2 linked regions of the Oreochromis niloticus genome follow. The protein of the gene in region 2 interacts with the protein of the main gene of each other region in a pairwise test. Links are inferred from orthologs where the notes say so. Each region holds a gene or a part of one and is shown on either strand. Other genes may lie near its edges. The genes, in order: nme6 and rcc1l.

Evidence for each region.
Region 1: the proteins of rcc1l (region 2) and nme6 interact in binary tests that used the Homo sapiens proteins (3 or more experiments, as listed by UniProt). The link is inferred for Oreochromis niloticus from reciprocal best matches to the Homo sapiens genes RCC1L and NME6.

Annotation. Positions count from the first base shown.
Region 1 is NC_031980.2:8,808,858-8,819,336, forward strand, and holds the start of nme6 (nucleoside diphosphate kinase 6), read left to right. Parts: upstream 1-6,556; 5' UTR 6,557-6,862; intron 6,863-7,102; 5' UTR 7,103-7,112; coding exon 7,113-7,205; intron 7,206-8,739; coding exon 8,740-8,842; intron 8,843-9,058; coding exon 9,059-9,098; intron 9,099-9,739; coding exon 9,740-9,900; intron 9,901-10,479. UniProt on the Homo sapiens protein: Major role in the synthesis of nucleoside triphosphates other than ATP. The ATP gamma phosphate is transferred to the NDP beta phosphate via a ping-pong mechanism, using a phosphorylated active-site intermediate. Inhibitor of p53-induced apoptosis.
Region 2 is NC_031975.2:26,829,464-26,840,036, reverse strand, and holds the start of rcc1l (RCC1-like G exchanging factor-like protein), read right to left. Parts: upstream 4,554-10,573; 5' UTR 4,344-4,553; intron 3,672-4,343; 5' UTR 3,671-3,671; coding exon 3,386-3,670; intron 3,173-3,385; coding exon 3,043-3,172; intron 1,246-3,042; coding exon 1,117-1,245; intron 1-1,116. Other genes in the region: transmembrane protein 136, read left to right, coding at 7,972-8,161, 9,817-10,364. UniProt on the Homo sapiens protein: Guanine nucleotide exchange factor (GEF) for mitochondrial dynamin-related GTPase OPA1. Activates OPA1, by exchanging bound GDP for free GTP, and drives OPA1 and MFN1-dependent mitochondrial fusion. Plays an essential role in mitochondrial ribosome biogenesis.

The sequences.
Region 1 (10,479 bases), on a different chromosome or scaffold from region 2:
CATCATTCAGAAGAGCTCACCTTACCCTCTGATTTTTTTTTCATCTGTCTACACCTCTTCTGTTTTTTTCTTTATTTGACTTCCAGTCATCCAGTCTGGTGATCCTTTATACTTCCAAAACTCACTGTAAACATGGACAGTGGATGACAGGATTTTGACTTGTTCACCAATTTTGAGATCAATTAAATCAACATGGGGGAAAGTCAGTGATGGGGCTTAAGTGCCCGAGCTGCATGTTATCTTCAAATCGGGCTAGGGAGGTTATTTTTAACTACCGTTCACATACCGGGGCCCCCGTTTGCTAATCACTTTGTTCCCCTCTGTCATACCCATCTGCCCTGCTGCCAATGTCCCACTGCTTCTGGGGAGGTCAAAACACACTTCACTTGGCAGGAGGAAATAATTTCCCTCAGGACACCAGACAGGAGCTTTGAATGATGAACTCCAGAGCAGTTTCTTCAACAGCAGATAATATGGAATTCTATTGGTATAAATAAAGTGGCAGCTGACACCAGACCAGATCTTGGACATGCACACGGAGTGACCCCCACCTCTTCTGGCAGGAAAGCTCCTGTAGGAGGTGGTGGTGGGAGGTGGTGGGAGGTGGGGGGGGTGGGGGGGGGGGTGGAGGGTTGACAAATAACTTAATAACGTCATAAGAAATAACTTAGAAGTAAGACTAAAACTGTGATTTGAGATGGTAAAGAATGGCATCATGGCAACAGATAATAGCTTAAAGTGTCTAAAAACATTTGCACACATTTTTTTATGTATTCTAAAGGCACACTAAAAAGATTAGGAGCTGGCCTAGTTGAAAAAGCAATAGTGAGCTGCTTAATCCTGACAATGGTAAGACAGTACTGTGCTGCTGACTCATTACGTGGTCTGATATTAATGGCGCTCTCTGTCCTTCCCTGGGCACAGCAGTTGCCAGCATCGAGGTTGACACAGCTGCCAAAGGAAGCCCGGTCCGTGTGGTGAAGCAATGGAGCAGAAAGGTCAAAGGTCAGCAGCATTTATGCTGAAAGAGAGAACAGGTGATGGAGAGGTGAAGGAAACTCGCCCACATGACTCAAGGAGAGGACAGAAGGATTTAAACGGATACTCTGAGGCTGTGAGATTTAGGACTGAGGAAATGCAGCAGTTGGTGACATCAGTGTCTTTATTGTTTGGTGTTTGGTTAGAAAACAGCAAACAGTTTTCATTTCATTTCACCAACACAGAGAAAAAAGCTTGTTATTAATGTGGCACCCTAAGTAATTCAATTCAAGTCAGTTTTATTTATATGGCACCAAATCACAACAGCAGTTGCCTCGAGGTGCTTGGGATTGGGCTTCGGTCTGTTACTGAAGCCACCCAAAGGTGCCAAAACAGGAAACACATCCCACACTTTTCTCACCAGCCCGACAGTTAGGACATGAAAGGGTTCTGGGTGTTACACTGGAGCCTGTGTCACCCTAGAAGGGCCTACTGAGGTGACACGTGAGGTCTGATTTTGGACGATAGCAGGGGACAAATTAAGTACAATTTTATTAAACGATCATATTCACCGTGCTATTGTGCCAAAGCATGGTATGATGTTTTGGGAGCTCAATTACATAATGGCAATGACAGGCTGAAATGACTTCGCAGGCAGGCATATCTAACTGCTAATATTAAAAATCATAGCATCTATTATACAGTGCTTAAAATGTCTATTAGATCACCACCCAATTTAAGGTTTATGCCACAGTTTTCCTAATTAATAGTATTAGTAATTACTTAAATAATTTTTTTGAATGTTTCTGTAAAGGTTTAATCCACCAGTATGTGCCAGCTCTTTAATCAAAATGATGTGTTGAGTGCTAAAATGTAACTATTGTTGTTAACCACGAATTTTCAAATTGACTGTTTGACAAAATTTTTTTAGTTTTTGATTAAGATGCCAAATTATATTTATTTATTTGCATTCCTGAACAGAAAAATCTGTTTTAGGGGTTTCTGAAAAACATGATTTCAGGTTTTAATTCTGCCTAATAAATACAACTATGATTTTTTTAAACAAGTTTTTATCATACTTGGTCTAATACATTTGTTAAACACTGTCATATAGAGTAAGAGTCTTTCAAATAATAACTGGATCACATTGTGAATGTTTCTTGTCATAGAAACCAATACCTGAAGGCGAAAAGTATGTGACACCATACATCCTCCTGTGTATCGATATACAGTATGTGTGTATATAAATAGTGAAGCAAACTGTAGATCCATATTAAGATACCGATTACTGCGGTCAAAAGGGGCAGTTTCATTTTCACTGTAGTAAATCAGATGGAATTTTTACTAAATGCCTCACTGTAGAGGATAATAAAGGGTAAGATATTAAACTGTTTCTTGTTTAGGCTCATTATTTCCTCGTGAAATTTCCTAAACTGAACCATTCAGTTTGGATAAGGTTTAACAACATTGTTTAAAGGTGATTTTATAATAAAGGATTTTTTCTCATCTGAAGACAAACCTGACTTGTTTTCTTTTTTATTAATGTTCAACTTCCAAAGAGTTCAGTGGAATTGATTCTTTTCAGGGAATAACGATTGGCATATTACACATTCCTTTCCTGAGCCTTCTTGTGCATGTACAGCTGTCAATGCCTTCCTGTAACACAAGCAAACTTACAGTATTTTATACTGTAAGTACCAGTCAAACAAAGAAAATGTTATTTATGAGGCAACATGTGTGAGCTATTACAGAGACAGCAGACATATAACTATGTTGTGTATGTAATACATATTTAGTTTATTTTAATATTTATTTAAAACAACATATGCATTATTGTTGATAAAACAACCAAGTCTTTCAGAGGAACAGAAATCATCAAGTGCATGAATTAAAACCATTAAAAAAAAGGACTTGATATAAAAATGACACAGCCTAAAAATTAAAAGAATAACAGGATAATAATTAAAACCAGCAAGAGGGCAGTAAAAATATAACACATTTAGTTTAAAACCAATAAAATAAGCAGACATTCAATCAATCAATCAATAACTGACACTCTTTTTAAACAGTGTAACTACATAAAGATACTGTGCACATTTCCATCACAGTTGGTCATGACAAAAGCTCCGTTTTTCCTCACATTAAACATTCCTCCCTAACATGTTTTCACGTGATACTTTGCGGTGGCTCCTGGCAAAAGAATGAGCAGCCTATGGACACCCAAGCACCCATGGGGGTCGTGAGTAAGTCAGTTGTCAGTTGACTCCCACCAAAAGGGAATGACAACTGCATGAGAGCCAGAAGCAAGGGAAGGAAGAGAAGCAAGAGAAGCAACAGCAGCAGGGGCACGGAGATGAAACAGAGATGAGTTTTATGGTGGTCAACGAGTGGAGGATCAGCTGAATCAGCCGACCAGCTGAGAACGCTTGAAGTGAGAGTCAGCAGTGAGCATCAATGATGCCTGATGCTGATGGACACTTGGACAGAATGCTGATGATTCTGTCCAAGTGTTGTGCTCTACCCTCTAAAAACTGCTTTTCAGGAAGTTTGGTGTACTTTTCAGTGACTGCTCCTCAATACATCATCTGCAGAGATGCTGAGCGGACACAGCTAGAATTGGAAGGAGCCCTTTGTAGGAAAAAAAAAGAGCCTTTAACATTAACATGTAACAAGTTATTTCATATTAAGGCAATAACAATTTCAAGATTAAAACAAACACTATTTTTTAACACTTCTGAGCAGTTTTTGTATATAAATGGCAACAATATATTATTTTTACCATTCCAAATTGCAATTATGATAGTCTGGCTTAAAAAGAAATACAAGAATGACTGATGTTTAAAAAAAAGTTTAATATTTAAAAACTATGTTTCCTGGAAAAGACGCTGGTGTTGTGTAAATTTAATGCTGCTTATATTAAATGGATAGTATGAAGCTCGCAGTATCTCCATAACCAGACAGTTCAGCCATATCAACTAATTTGGGGGATGTGAGGTCCTAAAAGTATTTCAGGTTTTCCCATCGATTGAAATGTTGCCAGTTCCCTAAAAAGTGGTTTTCTACTGTAGTCAACTGTTGACTGCTGGAAACCAGATAATAAAATTCTTGCTGGTGTTAAATGTGCACTTATTAGTACAAGATCAAAGGGCGACTAGGGTACTTTTGCATGTAAAACTGAGCTACCCTTACATGTATTGACTCCTTCCACTTGTAATACTTGCTAATATGGTGCTGACTGCCAATGTGATTATTAAATTTTGCTGATTAAAAATGTACAGGATATCTGTGTAAGCATGGCTGAACAGCTACATTTTATCCTGTCATGTTAAGCTTTGATTTGATATCATGATGCCTTAGACCAGGGATGCCACACTCATTTTACATTGAGGGTTACTTTGATATTAAGTGGGCCAGAGGAGTGAAACTGCACTTTCTGTCAGTGTAAAGACATTTAGCGACATATTTAATCCCAGAGATATCTTGATATGAGATGAAGTGTAATTTCAACAGCACATCTCAGTTTCTATACATGATCAATTTTCTTGTAGCTCACTGCTCAGACTGTCCTATATTTATAATACATAAAGTTTTTTGTTGATTGATGAAATTTCTATAATCCACAATGAAAAACATAAACTCTTCTGTCATTTTATTGTTTATCTATTACATATCTACTTTAGTGTAGTATGAAAGCTTCCAGGGGAGAGCTTTATCAGCAGGAAAAAGCTGTAAAACCTATTAAAATATAGTTAAAAGTACAAAAGTTAATGCACTTGTTCATATTTTCCAAAGTCATCGAATGGGCCCAACTGGAATCTTCGCTGAGCGGATTTTGACCCTCACACCTTACGTTTGACACCCTACCTTAGACAAATTCATAAGTGTAAAAAATACAAAATAACCTGTATTTTGTGTCACTCAGCAACAGTATTTCATTTCCAATTTATTTACAGCAAAGCAAATGATCATAAAATAGCACAACACCCTCACATAACTTTCATATCCAAGATTCTTTTCTCTCACGTCTTCCTAACGATTGAGTTGAACGCCTTTATTGTCAGTGGAAGATGTGTATGTATATGTATGGATTGTAAAGCCAATAAAAACACAAAAACTACAGGTTACATAGAATTTGGGTCTTCAGTCTGTACTCTTAAAATATATCCAATTTAACTCTGCACCTCTTCTTATCCTCTTCAGCCCTCTCATGGGAGGTAACAGCTGTCCTGTCACCCCAAGTCACATGACATGGGCAGGTGGGCGAAACCTATGTGGGACATCTAACTACCCTCCTCCCCCCCATTCTGTCTCTCTGAATGTCAGACACACACACACACACACACACACACACACACACACACACACACACACACACACACACACACACAATCTCTACTCTTCAAGGGTGTGGCCATTTTGCATTGCTGGAATGTGCTCTGTGTTTGTAATTCATACTGTATGTCTGATCTGCCCCAGTGTTGAAATACCAGAGACAAAAATCTGTCTCGTTCCAGTCCCTGCTTGTAGCCGGTGTGCTGCTGAACTCGACGTCTCGGTTTTATGTTCAAACATTCTCGCTCACTTTGATGTGCTGGGAAATTTCTCTATATCGATCGTCTATATCACATACTTGGAACTGCTACTCCTTTGCTGATAATTTGATCTTTGTGACATGGAGTGTTATTTCTACATTAACAATACTCAGGCATGCTGTGGCTTTTTTGCAATGCTTAGTTGGTACTAAAGTGTTCCAAGAAAATATCTCCCACATCATTATACTGTTTACACTGAACAGTTCATATAAAGAATTATGGATCCATGCTTTTGTGTTATTTACATCAAATTCTGACACTGCCTTCTGACCAGGTGACATTTTTTCATTTTTCTATTGTCCAGTTTGGTTGAGCCTGTTAGAATTGCAGCTGCAATTTCCTATTCTCAGCTGACAGGAGTGTACCCGGTGCGGTCTTCTGCTGCTCTAGGTCATCTGTTTCAGATTTCAATGTGTTGTGTGTTCAGATCTTCGGCAGATCTTGGTTGTAACAAGTGGTGATTTGATTACTGTTGCCTTCCTAACAGCTCGAAGCAGTCCAGTCATTCTCTTCTATTCTGAAATCAATGAGCTATTTTTACAGAGAGAATTACTGCTCTATTGCTGCTTCAATAGAGCACCTTTGAATAATGTCTCTTTTTAAGACCATCTTCTTTAAACCCTAGAGATGGCTGTGTGGGACAATCCCAGTATATCAGAGCAGCCCGTCTCGCACCAACACTCATGCTACATTCAAGAATTATGGATCCATGCTTTTGTGTTATTTACATCAAATTCTGACACTGACTTCTGGCCAGGCGACATTTTTCCATTTTTCTAGCGCTCCCATACGGGAACAATAGGAAAGTATTTGTCTCATTCCAGTGCCAAATGCAATAATAAGTGCAGTATACCAGTACTTACGTGTAGTTACGTTCCTATTCTACCTACATGTTATTGTGGAAATCAAGAAAAATAATTCCAAAAAGCTTCTATTAGAACTAAAGTTTATAAGACATGAAATCTCTGTTTTTTCTTCTTCTTCTCGCGGGGGAACAAACTCTGCGGGCACTGTTTCTGGGGACCCTTTTTACGAACGGACAGACCAAGCACCGACTCGTTCAGCTAATTTTCACATTTTAAGCGTTGTTTTTGGTGTAATTGGACGAGCAAGGATGCAGACTATATTCACACCTACAGTTTAGATAACCGCTAACTCAACAAAGTTAAGCGTTTTTATTTGCAACAGTATTTGCACAGCGTTTTTATTTAACAGTATGTCGGCGGCTGTTGCTCTGCTCCCCTTTACAAACTGATTGTTGTTTCTTTTTTTGGACAGAAGTCACAACAGAGGTTAGTATCAGTCACGAACTCAGCACTGACGTGTTGGAAACTGTGTCACGCAGAAAAAGTTCGTATTTTTTTAAATTAATTTTATATGATTTATATTAATGGTAAATTAACGATAAAAAAAAATCGAAAAAGAAGTCGCATCTTCGTTGCTTGTGGTGTTTGTTTTGTATTAATTTAACTAAAAATTTAAGTACTTTAGGCGAGTTGGATCTTATCATTGAGGGCGTATTTTCTGTTCAGTCTTTAGATAATGTTGCTGACAAGTGCTCGCCTGTCCAAAGTGCTGCAGCTCACCCTGGCGGTCATCAAACCAGATGCTGTGGCTCATCCTTTGATGCTAGAGGTGAGCTGCCCTCATGTTTCTTTTAAGTTACAGAATTTAAGACCTAAGATTACACAGCTTAAGTGGTAGTCTGAAAGCTATTCCCAGTTACTCACAGATCAAAAAACTAAACTATCACTTCCTCGTGGCACAGATTCAACAAGGTGCTGCAAACATTCCTCTGAGATTTTGGTTGATATTGACATAATGGCATCACACAGTTGCTGCAGATTTGTTGGCTGTACATTCATGATGAGACTCTCTTGTTCCCCCACATTCCAAAGGTTCTCTCTTGGATTGAGCTCTGGTGACTGGCCATTTGAGTGCAGTGATCTCATTATCTATGTTCAAGAAACCAGTTTGAGATATTTTGAGCTTCCTGAGAGTTGTAATACTCAGACAGGCGGTGGCATTTAAGTGTTGCTCAATTGGTACTAAAAGTGTTCCAATAAAATCTCCCTCATTACACCACCACCATCAGCCTAAACTATGCATACAAGGCAGGATGTATCCATTCGTTCATGTTGTTTACACCAAATTCTGACTCTACCATCCAAGTGTTACAGTAGAAATGGAGACTCATCAGCACCTGATAACATTTTCCACTCTTCTGTTGTCCAGTTCAGGTGAGACTGTGTGAATTGTGGAATCAGTTTCCTGTTCTGGGCTGACAGGGCTGGCACTGATGTGTTTTCTTTTTGCTTGTGTAGCCAATTTGCTTCAAGGTTCAACATGTTGTGAAATTCTCTTGTGCAGACCTTTGTTGTAATGGGCGATTGTTTGAGTCACTGTTGTCTTCCTATTAGCTCAAAGCAGTCTGGCCATCCTCCTCTGACCTCAGGCCCCAACAAGTAGATCATCGGTTTCTGAAATACATCTATTCTGACTGTCTGTTTGTAGTTCAGCAGGTTGTTTTCATCATGTCTACATGTCTAAAAGCATTAACTTGCTGCCATTTGATTGGCTGGTTTGATGAATGAGCAGATGAACAGTTGTACCCAATAAAATGACCAGTGAATGTTATTTTCACTTTTCCAGATTTCAAACATTTGTTGCTCTTTCTCAGGGCATTACAGTTTGCATGGTGTGGTTTAAATACTGTTCCTTATTTGTTTAATCTGTAAAGATTAGTTTTTGGAATTAATGAAGCATAAATGAACACATCTTTCTATTTAATTATGTTTTTTTTTTTAACCCACTGTCAAATAAAACAGCAATTAATTAATTGATGTTATCTGTTCTGATATCAATTTAATTGAGTAGTAAAGAATCGGCATTTGCTCACTTCACAGACCTGGAGGCTTCAAAATCATAGCAGCTGTGTCTATCATAAAATATTCCATCAGTGATAGGTTTAATTTCACTTGTTAATGTGCATTACTTTATTATCATCTCAATTTAAAGAATAAGAGGATGACCTTTTGAATCAGAGCTGTCAATTTTTACCCTTTTCTCTGCAAAAAAATCTACCCACAGTAGGAAAAAGCATATAAAGTTGATCCAGTCATGTTTTGATGCAACTTGGAGGACAAACATGATGATTTCTATATTTCAGGCTCTTCACCAGTTAATTCTAGACAACAACTTTGGGATTGTTAGATGCAAAGATCTGGTCTGGAGACGACAGGACTCTGAGAGGTTTTATGCTGAACATTCAGGTTTGGAAATATTTCATTTGTGTTTAAGCTTTACTTAAATGAGAGAAGTACTGCTGTGGTATATGATGTAACCAAATAAATGAGTCAGCAGCCTATTTTAACAGGGTGCACTGTATGCATGACTGTTAAAAGAAATAAATGTCTTGTCAAATGAAGGATAGCTGTTTTCTCCTTTTTGTTATTGAAGGTCTTTATTTTCTGTTTTACAAATCTCAGGGAGATTCTTCTATCAAAGACTTGTTGAATTCATGTCAAGGTAAGCCTCCATGCTTATATCATGGACACATTTCTTTGACTCCATGTGATTGAGTTACGATTTTATATGTTTGGATGATTGTTGTTGGGTGTTGTATTTTAAATGGAATAATGGATGGAGAGCCATCAGCACCTCCGCTGGTAGTACTCCAATTTCATGCTCAGTAAGGCACCAGTAAACGATTTTCCCAAAACAGCACAACAGGAGTTTCAGTTATCCGTGTTTAGAACACAATTCCCTGGTGCAGTAGCCTAAATATCGCTATGCAGACCACTCACAATACGTCCTCCTGCTGCGAGCCTCAATGGGATTGGTAAAGGTCTTTGTAATTACTTTGTCTTTTTTTTCTCTGCTCACAGCAGTGAAGCAGTAGTTGCTACAGCAACCCTTCTCTGACTGCTGCTATTGATATCGCAAACATAGGAAGCATCTTCAAGTGTGTCAGCCAGTCAAGCTTGATGCCGCACCAGCTGGCATTGTTTAGCTAAAATGGATTTATTTATGGCCGAACTGTCTTCCCAGGAGGTCCTGGGGGCGAATAGATTAGATTTGTATGAAGAGTGGTTTTTTGGTCTGCTATCTAGAAAACATCAGCAATGTTCAAAGTCAAATTCATGACTGCTGTTGAAATTTGTCTGCAGTGGGCCAATGCGAGCGTACATTTTAGCCAGGAAGGATGCCATAAGCCACTGGAGAGAACTGATGGGGCCGACCAAAGTGTTCAGAGCCAGATTCAACTCGCCTGCTTCTATCAGGGGCCAGTTTGGACTCACAGACACAAGGAACACAACTCATGGCTCAGGTAAAAAAGCTCCCAAGCTCCATAATGCTAAAAAAAATTATATGTGTAATGTTAATAATCTATTATTGTGAATATATTATCTTAAACATATGCAAGAGGACATAACTCCTGCGGTTACCAGGTTTACACATCACTAAATTTCACATCTTTTAAAGCCCATCAGTTTCTATAATGGTGTTTGGAGTCATTGGGCAGAAAACAAAATAGTGCAAAACTGTGCAAAACACCTCTTTTCTTTTTGTTTCACTGGAAAATTGGGAAATGGGTGCAATGATTTATTGAAACGTGCAAACATGCATGAAAATATAAGGCAAAAACAGCTTTCTGTAGTTTCAGGAATAGTTCTCCAGGCTTTTTCAAGGACATTCAAAGCTTTTCTTCAGATGTTGGGCTGCTTTTTTCAGTCCTGTGTCAAGATGATCACACACTGCTTCAGTAATGTCGAGTTCTGGGCTCTGGTTCCATTGTGCCCCACTGGCATGCTTTTACTGCATTGACAGTGTGTTTGGGTCATTGTCATGCTCAAAAAATGAAGCTATTGCCAGTCGGATGCTTTCAACATAGTATTGCATGGTGGAT
Region 2 (10,573 bases):
ATGTGATTCGGCACTATATACATAAAACTGTACTGAATTTAATTGTTTAATTTATTTATAAAACATTTCAATTATCCTATTTTTGTGTAAATTTAATTAATTTTAGACATCATATTATATAACAATACATTGCATGTGTCCCACTCTACCTCAATAAAAACTGATTCTCAAATAAATAAGAAACACCTGAGAAGCTCAAAGTGTTTTAGATAAAGGGTGATAAATGCCATTTTGTTTTTAAAAGCTTTAATGGACTCTGCAGTACATGTCATGAAAAGCTGTAAGATTAGTGACTTTAATACTATGATTACATTTAGCAGCAACAACAATCTGCTATGCTGTTTAAACTAAGGTTTAAAAAAAGAGATAGTTTGAGCTTAACAGAACAGCTGCCTGGCTAACTTCAGCTGCAGAATTAAACGCCACCTTAAAATCTTTTGTATGCTCTGCACACGGGTGCACCATGTTTTGGTCATACAGGCGATATCAAGGACAGCAGAAACATAACCTGCAGGATGATTTCATACATGCTGTTTTTATCACTTGGTGGCCACTTAAAATACAAGTAATTTAGATAACTGCATAAATACTCATATCAGAAAAATCTAAAATATCAGCTGCAGTACCCTTTAAAACAATGCACCGCAGTAGATCGCACTGTGTGTTAGCCGTGACACATCTTTCTTTTGTCAGAAACTAGCCTCACAAATCTTTGGAGTAAATTTCTACCAGCAAATTACGACCAGTTAAAACAACATCACAACAAAGCACTCTGCAATTTAGCAAAACACAATAAAAGCCCATTTAAATTAAAAAACAGAAAGAAAAAAAAGATTCTGGCTGGCAACAAAAAGTGGCGAAAAGCCTTTTCACAAATTAGCTTGTTGGAACATCAGTCTGCTAATTTACTGAATGTACCAGAAGACCTTAATGAGCTTTCTGCATGAGCTGTAACAGCTGCCTGATAATGATTCATTTTTGGTTGGCGGTGGGTGGATGATGTAAAAGGACACATGGTGCGACAGGTGGCTGAAAGGTTTCTACAGGGGGACGACATGCTCCGCAGCTTTTTGTGTGTTTGGATTTAGGCTGGTGCGGGAAGCGTGCGTCTCTTACCTCCCTCTCGGTCAGTGAGGACCAGAGAGTGAGCCCGTCCACATGCAACCTGAACCACTCTGGTCTGCAGAGGCTCGACGAGAGGCAGGGCCACCGGCGACGGCTCCAACACGTAGTCGTAGCTCTTATCTACACGAACAGGGCGAGACGACACATGAACAAAAAGCAGTGATACTCCTTAAATAATATTAATATAAACTTGTTAGAGAAACACTGTGAAATGGAATGTGACACATGGAAGAAACACACACTCCGAACATATCCTCGTGCTAACACAAGAAGACCACTCCTCAGCTCTATCCCATAGACTATATGGGATAGATATATACCCTTATAGATACATAAAGGATGGATATAGTTTATGGCAGGTTACCACTTTAGTTTTCCAAATTACACATTACAGCCACTTGGCAGCTTTGACTGACAAATGTAACCCTAGAGAGCCGATTATGGTTGCTGCAATGGTCTTATAACGTAAAAACAGTGACATCACTGTTAAAGAGGGCGTGGGCACTTACTGCAGTATTCGCCACTCAGATCGACCCGATATATTAGCGCCGGTGCAGGAGTAGAAGAACAGAAGCAAAGAAATCTTTAAAAAGCCTCCTCTTTGCTGGCGCTCTTATCACAGGGCACGGTAGGATAGCTTTTATTACCCGTTACTTTCACTGCAATGATCAACTTTTATTTTATTTTAATGCCAAACTGCAAAAGCACCCCCTCACACTGTCTGGATATTTGCATATCATGATTTCATTAGCAAACCGCTGTACTAGGGCCTTGTGCAGGTGTTTGTATGGTTATTGCCGGTGCTGGCACTATTATCTTCCACTTATCCGAAGTCAAGCTGACAACAGGCTAAGCAGGGTATTCTAGACGTCCTTCTCTCTATCCACACTTTCCAGTCCCTTCTGGGGGATTCTGAGGTGTTCCTAGACCAGACGAGATATACAATCGCACCAGCAGGTTGGGGGTCTTCACCCAACTGATGTGCCCAGAAAGCCTCCAAATGAAAGGCTCCATGAGGCTTCCTAATGAACACGCAGGAGTAGCGGCTCTATTCAGGGATCCCTCCAAACATCAGAGCTCGTCAAACTATGACTAATTTCAGCTGCTTACATTCATGGGTGAGGGTTGGGACGTAGATGGACGGGTACATCGAACGCCTCCCCTTCAAGTAGAGCTATCCCTTTACCACAACACTCCGATACCAACGCAAGCTCCACGTTCCGGTCACAATTATGCATAAGATCCCAAGATACCAGCTCCCTTGCTCAAGACAGCCTCTCTTTGGAAATCAGTGGGAGCATTCAATTGATTTCTGGCAGCTTTCAGTGAATGAGAAGCAAAACTGTTGAAGCCAGAAAGTTTTTGGTGACTCTCATGGGGAACATAATTTACAAAATGAACACCATGCTTTATTCAGTAAGTCTTGGAACTAGTGATTGAGACACAAACACATTAGAAGAGTGTCTACTAAGCATTTGGATCATGTGACCCAGTATAACCTATTTAACCTCCAGCATTTGTCTTAACTGGACACCTTAGTTGTGTAAACGTTATCCTAATTTCTGGGGTACTTCTTTGCTCTTCTTTCCACTTCTTTTTGCAGACAGTAGTTGCCCCCTGCTGGCCATTAGAAAGAACACAGGTTTAAGGGACTCTGGCTCTAGTTTGCAGGCCCAGAAGCTATGTCCCTCCTTGCTATACAGTTCACATGTATTCTCTTGTACATCTATTCTTCCCAAAAAACAAACTTCAAAAAAGGCTTTAAACAGTAACATACCAACTGGTGATGGCCATCTTATTTATACAGACAATGCCTAGCATCGCCATCACCTGACGGGTCCAATATCCATTCTTCTTTCACATCCAAAGTTCTTTAAACTATCTTTAAAGAAATAAATAGTTTAGTTTCTGTCTTACGGCGGTCGTGCTGGGTGCGCTGAAAGCCCAACTGAGAATCTTTGTTCAGGCCCATGCCCCACAATTTGGTCACATCTTTGGTTGGAGACGCGATGAGAGTGAAACCGTAACCACAGGCAGCAGAGGAGATCTGCAACAGCAGCAGCAGAAAGCAAGTTTAGCTTTACAAAACTCTCTTAACACATATAAAATGGTTTGTCGACATAGGTATGACTGGCGGCAGCAGTTTACCTGATTTGACTGATATTTTATGAAGTTACACCTAAATAACAATTACTATCTTATACATCTTTAAAAGCTCAACCCATAAGACTCAGACTCTCATAGTGCCGGCAGATTTTACCTGTTCTGCAGTCTCCAAGCGATAAGGAGTAAGCTGGTATTTGCGGGGCTTTTTCCTGCCGCTGTCTGGGACTACAAAGGTAGGGATGCCAAGTGCACCAGTGAAGCTGAAGCCCCAGACAAACACTTTATGGGTTGGCTTTTTGTGCTGGCCGACATACTGGAAGACCGGATCACTGCCACTCTTCTCCTGGGGTCTGGATGCTTTGCTGAGTGTTGCATACCAACAGACTTGAAGGCCTGCTCTCATGTGGCGGGGACACAGTCGCACAGAGGGAAAAGCCATCCTGTAGAAAAAAGCAGGAACAGGGAAAACAATCAAGATGAAGTTGATGTGGTTGTTTAACCCAACTATACTGACATTTAATATTGTAATGATAAGCCACATTAACTGTTCTTTAATTCAAAAAAAAAAAAAATTCTTTACTTTTCCATTTAAATATATCAGACTTTTTAAATTGCCTTTACAAAACAATAAAAATATATTTTTGTTTTATCAAAATGTGCTTTTTTTTTTTTTAAATGTGTAGGGGGAAAAAAAAACCACACTGCCACATTTCATTTACATTTTCTATCAAATTAGATGTTCTGTGGTTTTACAAAACTACGCACACAATACTAGGAGACTTTTAAGTTTTTATATAAAAGGCTAAAGCCTAGCAGTAACTTCGGCATGCACCTGATCCACAGTAGCTTTGATTAAATGTAATTTATGCCTCGGTTAACAATTTAACGTTAGCTATCCCACATTAAAACAGGCGTAATAAGGGACTCGTGAGCATCCATTTTGGGTTAAATTACATTAAAAACAGTTAATACTAAGTCTTCGTAATCAACCCCGATTTGAAAAACGGATTATAAGGATTTGCATAAGGCATTTATGATTAATCTTATCAGATTGTACATCTGACGCTGCGGAAAGGTAGTTAAAATTACGTTAAATTTGAAGGGAGTTTCACCTCGTGTTCTTTCCAACAGCAGCCACTGAGCCGGGGTAAATTTGCCTTCTCTTCCAGTTAGACCCGCATTTTATAATGCTGAGAAACTCACTCGTGCTCTACAGAAATGATGACTTCCAGGTGAAATTATAGGAAAATGTTTCAGGGCCGTTATTCCATGTTTGTTTAGGTTAACTTTCTCCAACCCAGGATGCAGAAGGACGCTCTTCCGTCACGTCTGTTCGCCTTTAAGAATACAACAACAGCGCCGCCTGCTGCCCTGGAGCTCCAAGCGCGCTCTACAGCGAAGGTGAACAGATTAATGAATGGCAGGAAATATGTGTAAATCATTTTAATGCTGTAGCTGGAGATGACCTGAATGACTTATATAACTCTGCCTAGCTGTGTCTACAATAAAACAGCATAATTTATTAGAAGATTTATTGTTTTGACTATAAAATAATACATAACTAAAGCTGTAAAACCTAACAATGGAGTAGATAGATTTGTATAAGTCAAAAGGACTTTGAAAGCCAATCAAGTTTCCACAAATCAAAGTAAGCAATATCAAACAGCCTGGAAAGACACAAAACAACTTCAATAAGAATTGAGAAGAGGAAGAAAAGACTCAAAAGAGATGCAAAATGGCCAAAGACATGCAAAAGATTACAATATGATAGAAATGACACAGATATGACAGAAGTTAGAGAAAACACAAGCAAAATCACTGCAAAGAGAGAAAATGATGCAATCAAAGGAGGGAAGAACAACTATGAAATGCAAAGTGACCATAAAGTAATAAAAAAATGACTGCTGGAAGATGTAAAACATATTCCTTTGAATTAAGCTGGTACTAATCTATATTTAGCTTCTCTGGATCATATTTATATTATGTTGTTCAATATCATTTGTGCCAATCAAATTACATCAACATAGTATTATAATTGTGTCCAGGCTGTCTACACTTTCCTGGCTAATTCAGCACCTGTATATGTGCTCACTGTTAGGAAAGTAGCATAACAATGTGATAGAGTAATAATATCTGTTATAGCTTTACCTTCCTAGCCGATAATCTACTCGGGTGTCAGATTAGAGCTGATCTGTAAGTGGGTTAATGCTGCAGAGCTGTCAGGTGAGCACCCGACCTTCGCCTCACAGGGTATTAACCTGCCGTAGCGGAGGTGAATGAAATGCCTGGAGGGTCACATGTGAAAACTTCTGGCCTCGGTGCTGCTGTGAAAATTTTCTATATGTAACTCACCCACCTGCATCAACCACCTGCCCTCAGAGCGCACACTCCCCTCTTCTGAAATGTTTGGAGGGTTTTCTAACTACCCTGAGTGCAGTTTTATTTACCACTAATTTTAAAATACAAGCATTAGTGACTTAATCATCAATATGTCCATGAAATTAACCATTTTACAGAAGGACATATTGTGGCATCTGCTGTTATGTCAACACAGTATGGACAGAGTCTGCAATGTCCACATCAGCAACGAGGTCTGGTGTGTCATCTGCTCATTACATCACAGATTTTGGCCTCTAATCCTGCAGTATCACACATATCAGTCTGCCTCCTCTAAATTATCCCCATTCTGTTTTTATGTCTGGCATCATGCAAGAGTCTTTATTTTCAATCAGTGTCCTATTTATGTGGAAGGCAGTTTAAAGTGCTGATAAAATGCACAGGATGGCAAAAATTAATAAAAACAGACCAGTGCCCATCGAGATACATATAGAGAAACAACTTTACAGGGAGTAGCAATGCAGCCAGAAAATGCCTGAAGAACACCTAAAAAAAACTCTTGCTCAAAACAACTGGGGACAAAAACGAAAGCACAAAGATCCGTATTGAAAAGTGGGCTCCAAAGTGGCCTGGGTTGGTGATCTTTTTGAATGGGGAAAAATTCTGAAGTATTTTGGGAATTTCACAAAAACCATGACAAATCGCTACCAAAAGTCACATCACACTATTCCCGAATGGGCCGCACGAAATGATGTAACATATGTGGGAGTTTTCTCAAAGCTGTGAGACGAGATTTTAGGCGGAAGAAGAAGAAGAAGAAGAAATTGGATAGGCTCACTTAACTTCAAAGTAAAACATTACTATGTGCAGTTCATTTCTACTAAAAATAGTCCAGGTGTCATAGGAGGAGCTGTAAAGTAAGGAGAGGCTGTGACAGTTTTTTTGTTTTATGCAGGTGGAGCTGTATCTGAAATACTGCCGTTCACATAATTGTACAATTCTACCATCCACCCATCCGAGCATCCACTAAACAGTTCAGTCACTTAACCCGTCTTGCCATTCACACTCACATTCCCCCAGGAAGTTTAGAATCACCAGTTAACCCTGTGCATGTCTTCTTTTTAATTCCAGTTCACGTAAAACCAGATTTGCAACATTTTCACCTTTTTTAAGCTTCATTTTACTTTTAGAGCACAGGCATCATCCCAAACAGGTAAGACTTAAAAATGTTGAGTGATGGATTTAAAGTGGGTAAACAGTGGGGCATAGTATGGGGGGAAACGCTGACATATGGGAGCTAAATTAAAAGACAAACAAAAGACATTTTACAATTAAAGACCAGTGAAATCAGCAGGATTAATTGGACAAAACAGCTTTTAAAAGTCACAAAACCAGTCCAGAGCTCAAAGAGGACTGGTCCTAACTTCAGTTTTGTGTTACTTTACTATGATGCATGTGCTGCTCTGCAGCCTTGTATCACCCGCCCTGTCCAAAAGCAGGTATGTGCAGAGAAGTGGAGGCTGTAATCCTTTAAGAGGATCAAGTCTGACTTCCAGGGGGAAGGGAAACAGGATCCACTAACTGTCCATAGTAGCCTGCACATGGCATATCTGTCATCTTGGCCGAGTGAACATGTGTCCATTAAAAAAAATGCTGAGCTGACAGCACTTTGATGGAGGCTTTATGTGTAAACAGTGATGGAGGCTGAGGCTACCTCAGTGATGGAGTCCATATCTACAAGCATCCTGAACGTGAGGACGACTGAGAGGAGGAGGAGTTAAGGTAAACCACGGCATGACTGTTCTATTTCAGAGTATGGAGACGTACTTTGGTCAACAATACCCAGCAGCCACAGGTGCATTATTGCATAAAATCATTTTATATTAAGGTTGGTTTTGTTTCCAAATCTAGCTCCTTTAAAACCTGCTTGTTACCGATTGGTTAACACAGAGTTTACAGCACACTGTAATGTAGCCGCAGATATGAGGAAATTTCAGTATTTTTATTAATGCACAGACTGACATTTTATATCATGGCACCCATGTTTAGCTGTGTTGTCATTAGTCAGCAGGTATGCCTTTGCTGCTTGGTGCCCACAAGTGTTTTAAAAAAGTGACGTTTTAAAGAAACTGAAATAATTTGTTTTAGACAGTAAGCGTGTCACACTTTAAAGTCAAATTTGAGCTTATTATATCATCACTGTTTCAAATAAGCTTGTTTTCATTAGAGTAAATAACCCATTAACTCTACATGGACCCAGTATCCATCTACATGGTTAACCTAATATTGTATGTAAATATGTTCAAATATAAAATCAATGCTTTACACTTTTGGTGACTTGTTCTTAAATGCAGTCTCATGTAAAAGACCTCAGATGTGTCTGTTCTTCCCAAACACACAGCCATGCCGATGCTGGAGGTCATCTGCAGCCTGATTGGTTGGCTGTGTCTCTACTTCTTGTTCGTCTGCACCTTCACTCAGCGGGGACCCGAGTGGAACTGTCGCCTGGTCACGTTGTCCCACGGCGTCCTCATAGTGCTGCTCACAGCCTACGTTGTTTTCGTAGACGGACCCTGGCCCTTCACGCATGCAGGTCAGTGGATCAATAAACATGTTACCAATGCAGTTACAAAGTATAGTTAGTAATTTAATTTAATTTAATTTAATTTAATTTAATTTAATTTAATTATGCTCTCTTTCTGGTCATGGTGTGATGTAAATTCAGAATGGTGCTAATTATAGCCGTCTACTGTCCTCACTGAGAGTTAACAGGATCAGCAGCATGGTGCTGATGTTCAGCATATTTTAAAATTTAATGAAAAGTAAAGTACAAATCAGTTTGGTGGGTAATGGAGGTGAAACACATCCACGGTCTGCATTAAATGAACCAATAAGTCGGTTAATTAATCACTGAGTGAAAGGATTAATGTAATTAGTCCATGAATGAATCAATATAAGCACAGAGTTTTAATCTGTTTGTGAATTAAAGACAGTTTTTCAAAAAATGTACAAATGATTATGATTGAATTTAGGTCGGTATAATAAATTAAAATAAAAGTACATAAAAATAGCTGTACCAGGATGGTACATGTGGTAGGGCAAAGGATGCTGAAGATGGAGGTACCAGGCAGGAGGTTAAGAGGAAAAGCACAACAGAACTTCTGGTGCAACAGAAGCTAGGGACTGGGTAAGATGGAGGCAGATGATTCTCTGTGGTGGCCCGTAAAGGGAACATCCAAAAGATGAAGACAGTAAAGAACCAAGCAGTCAAAAACCTGCAGGTACAGGTGTAATTTTCCAAAAAGTGGGTTTTATGGTACCGAAAAAGACAAAGAAATATATCAAAACCACAAACAAATGTAAGTAGGTTATTTTAAGACATACGTGGGCCCATAAAAAGAGGTCAGCTAAACAGGATCCACTCAAAAATACTGCTAACCAAAAAACCCTGACTTATCCAAATGAGCACAATTCAAACTATGATTTCATTCTCATAAGTATTGAGCCTCCAAACCCGAGATCTCTTGATACAGCTTTAAATATAAGGACTCCTTCCACTGAAGCATCTCTTCAGTAATAATCTCAAAGCTTTATAGGCGACTTCATTATAAACCAGCTTTTTACAGTTTGCCTTTAAGTGTGCAGTATACAGAGATCCACGGTATGCTTTAAACACCTTCACGTTATTTCTCCAAGCACTAAATTTGCATTAAAGAATTTTTTCATGTGCATGTATCACACAGCATTGCATGCAAATATCTTTATCATACAGCATTTATTCTGTTATTAGGAATCTAAGATAAAACCACCAACCACTTCACCTTCCCTGTGGTGGGGCTGAGCATGCAAGGAAACCAGCAATAAATTAAGGAAATAAGGATGCAGCATTTTTGGAGGGGTCTTTTTGGTTAATTGTGTTGGTTTTGCAAGCAAGCAGACAAAGTTAGCAGCTATCTTGTGAACATAGTGGATCATTTAGCAGCTAAACAATCACATGTGTTTCTTAGGAGTTGATGGAAATGAAAACAAAGCTAAAAAAAATTTAATTAAAGTGAATATTGAACATTTTTTCCTTTTAGGTGGACACATTCATGACTTTAAATGAATGCTAATGCTACTCTTTGTCTCTTATATATGTGCAGCTCCAAGTGTTTGCTAACCTATTGGCCTTCAGCTAGTTGAGGTGGTTTCTCTGACCAATAAAGAAAATACTAAATACAGATGACCTTCTTCTTATCCATCCACCAGGTACAGAAAACACAGAGCTCCAGAGCTTCGCCCTGGCTGTGTGCCTCGGCTACTTCTTCTTCGACATGGGTTGGTGTGTATGCTACCACACGGAGGGCCCCGTCATGCTTGCACATCATGCTGCCAGTATTGCAGGCATCCTGCTGGCTTTACTGATGGGAGTCTCAGGCTGTGAAACCTGCGGGGTCATCTTTGGCAGCGAGATCACCAATCCCCTGCTGCAGACCCGCTGGTTCCTCCGCCAGGTGGGCCTGTACGACAGCCTGCTGGGCGACGCGGTGGACCTGCTTTTTATTTTACTGTTTGCCACTGTTCGCGTGGGAGTCGGCACGGTGATGTTTTACTGCGAGCTCACCTCTCCTAGGACTTCACTGATAATGAAGCTTGGTGGAGTGGTTATGTATGGGCTGGCGTGGGTGTTCATGGTTGACATAGCCAGATTTGGCTACAAGAAAAGCAAGGCTAAGTATAAAAGGTGGATAGAGAACCACAAACTCAAAGACGTGGACAGACAAAAGGTGGGTGGACATTCAGACAAGAGTGAATGAAAAGCTAATGTTCTGTTTAAGGGCTTCAAAAGCTCTAAAGGTGCTATGTATAGCATGAGAATAATAAAAGATTACTAAATATTTTTAATATGCTGTATATTATGAGTCCCCAAATCAAAGAGAAAAGTTATGTATGCGTATCATGAGCACGCTCTAACCTTGTTTTAAAATGCCATGGGCTGCTTCATAGAAAAAGGTTTAAGTTGTAT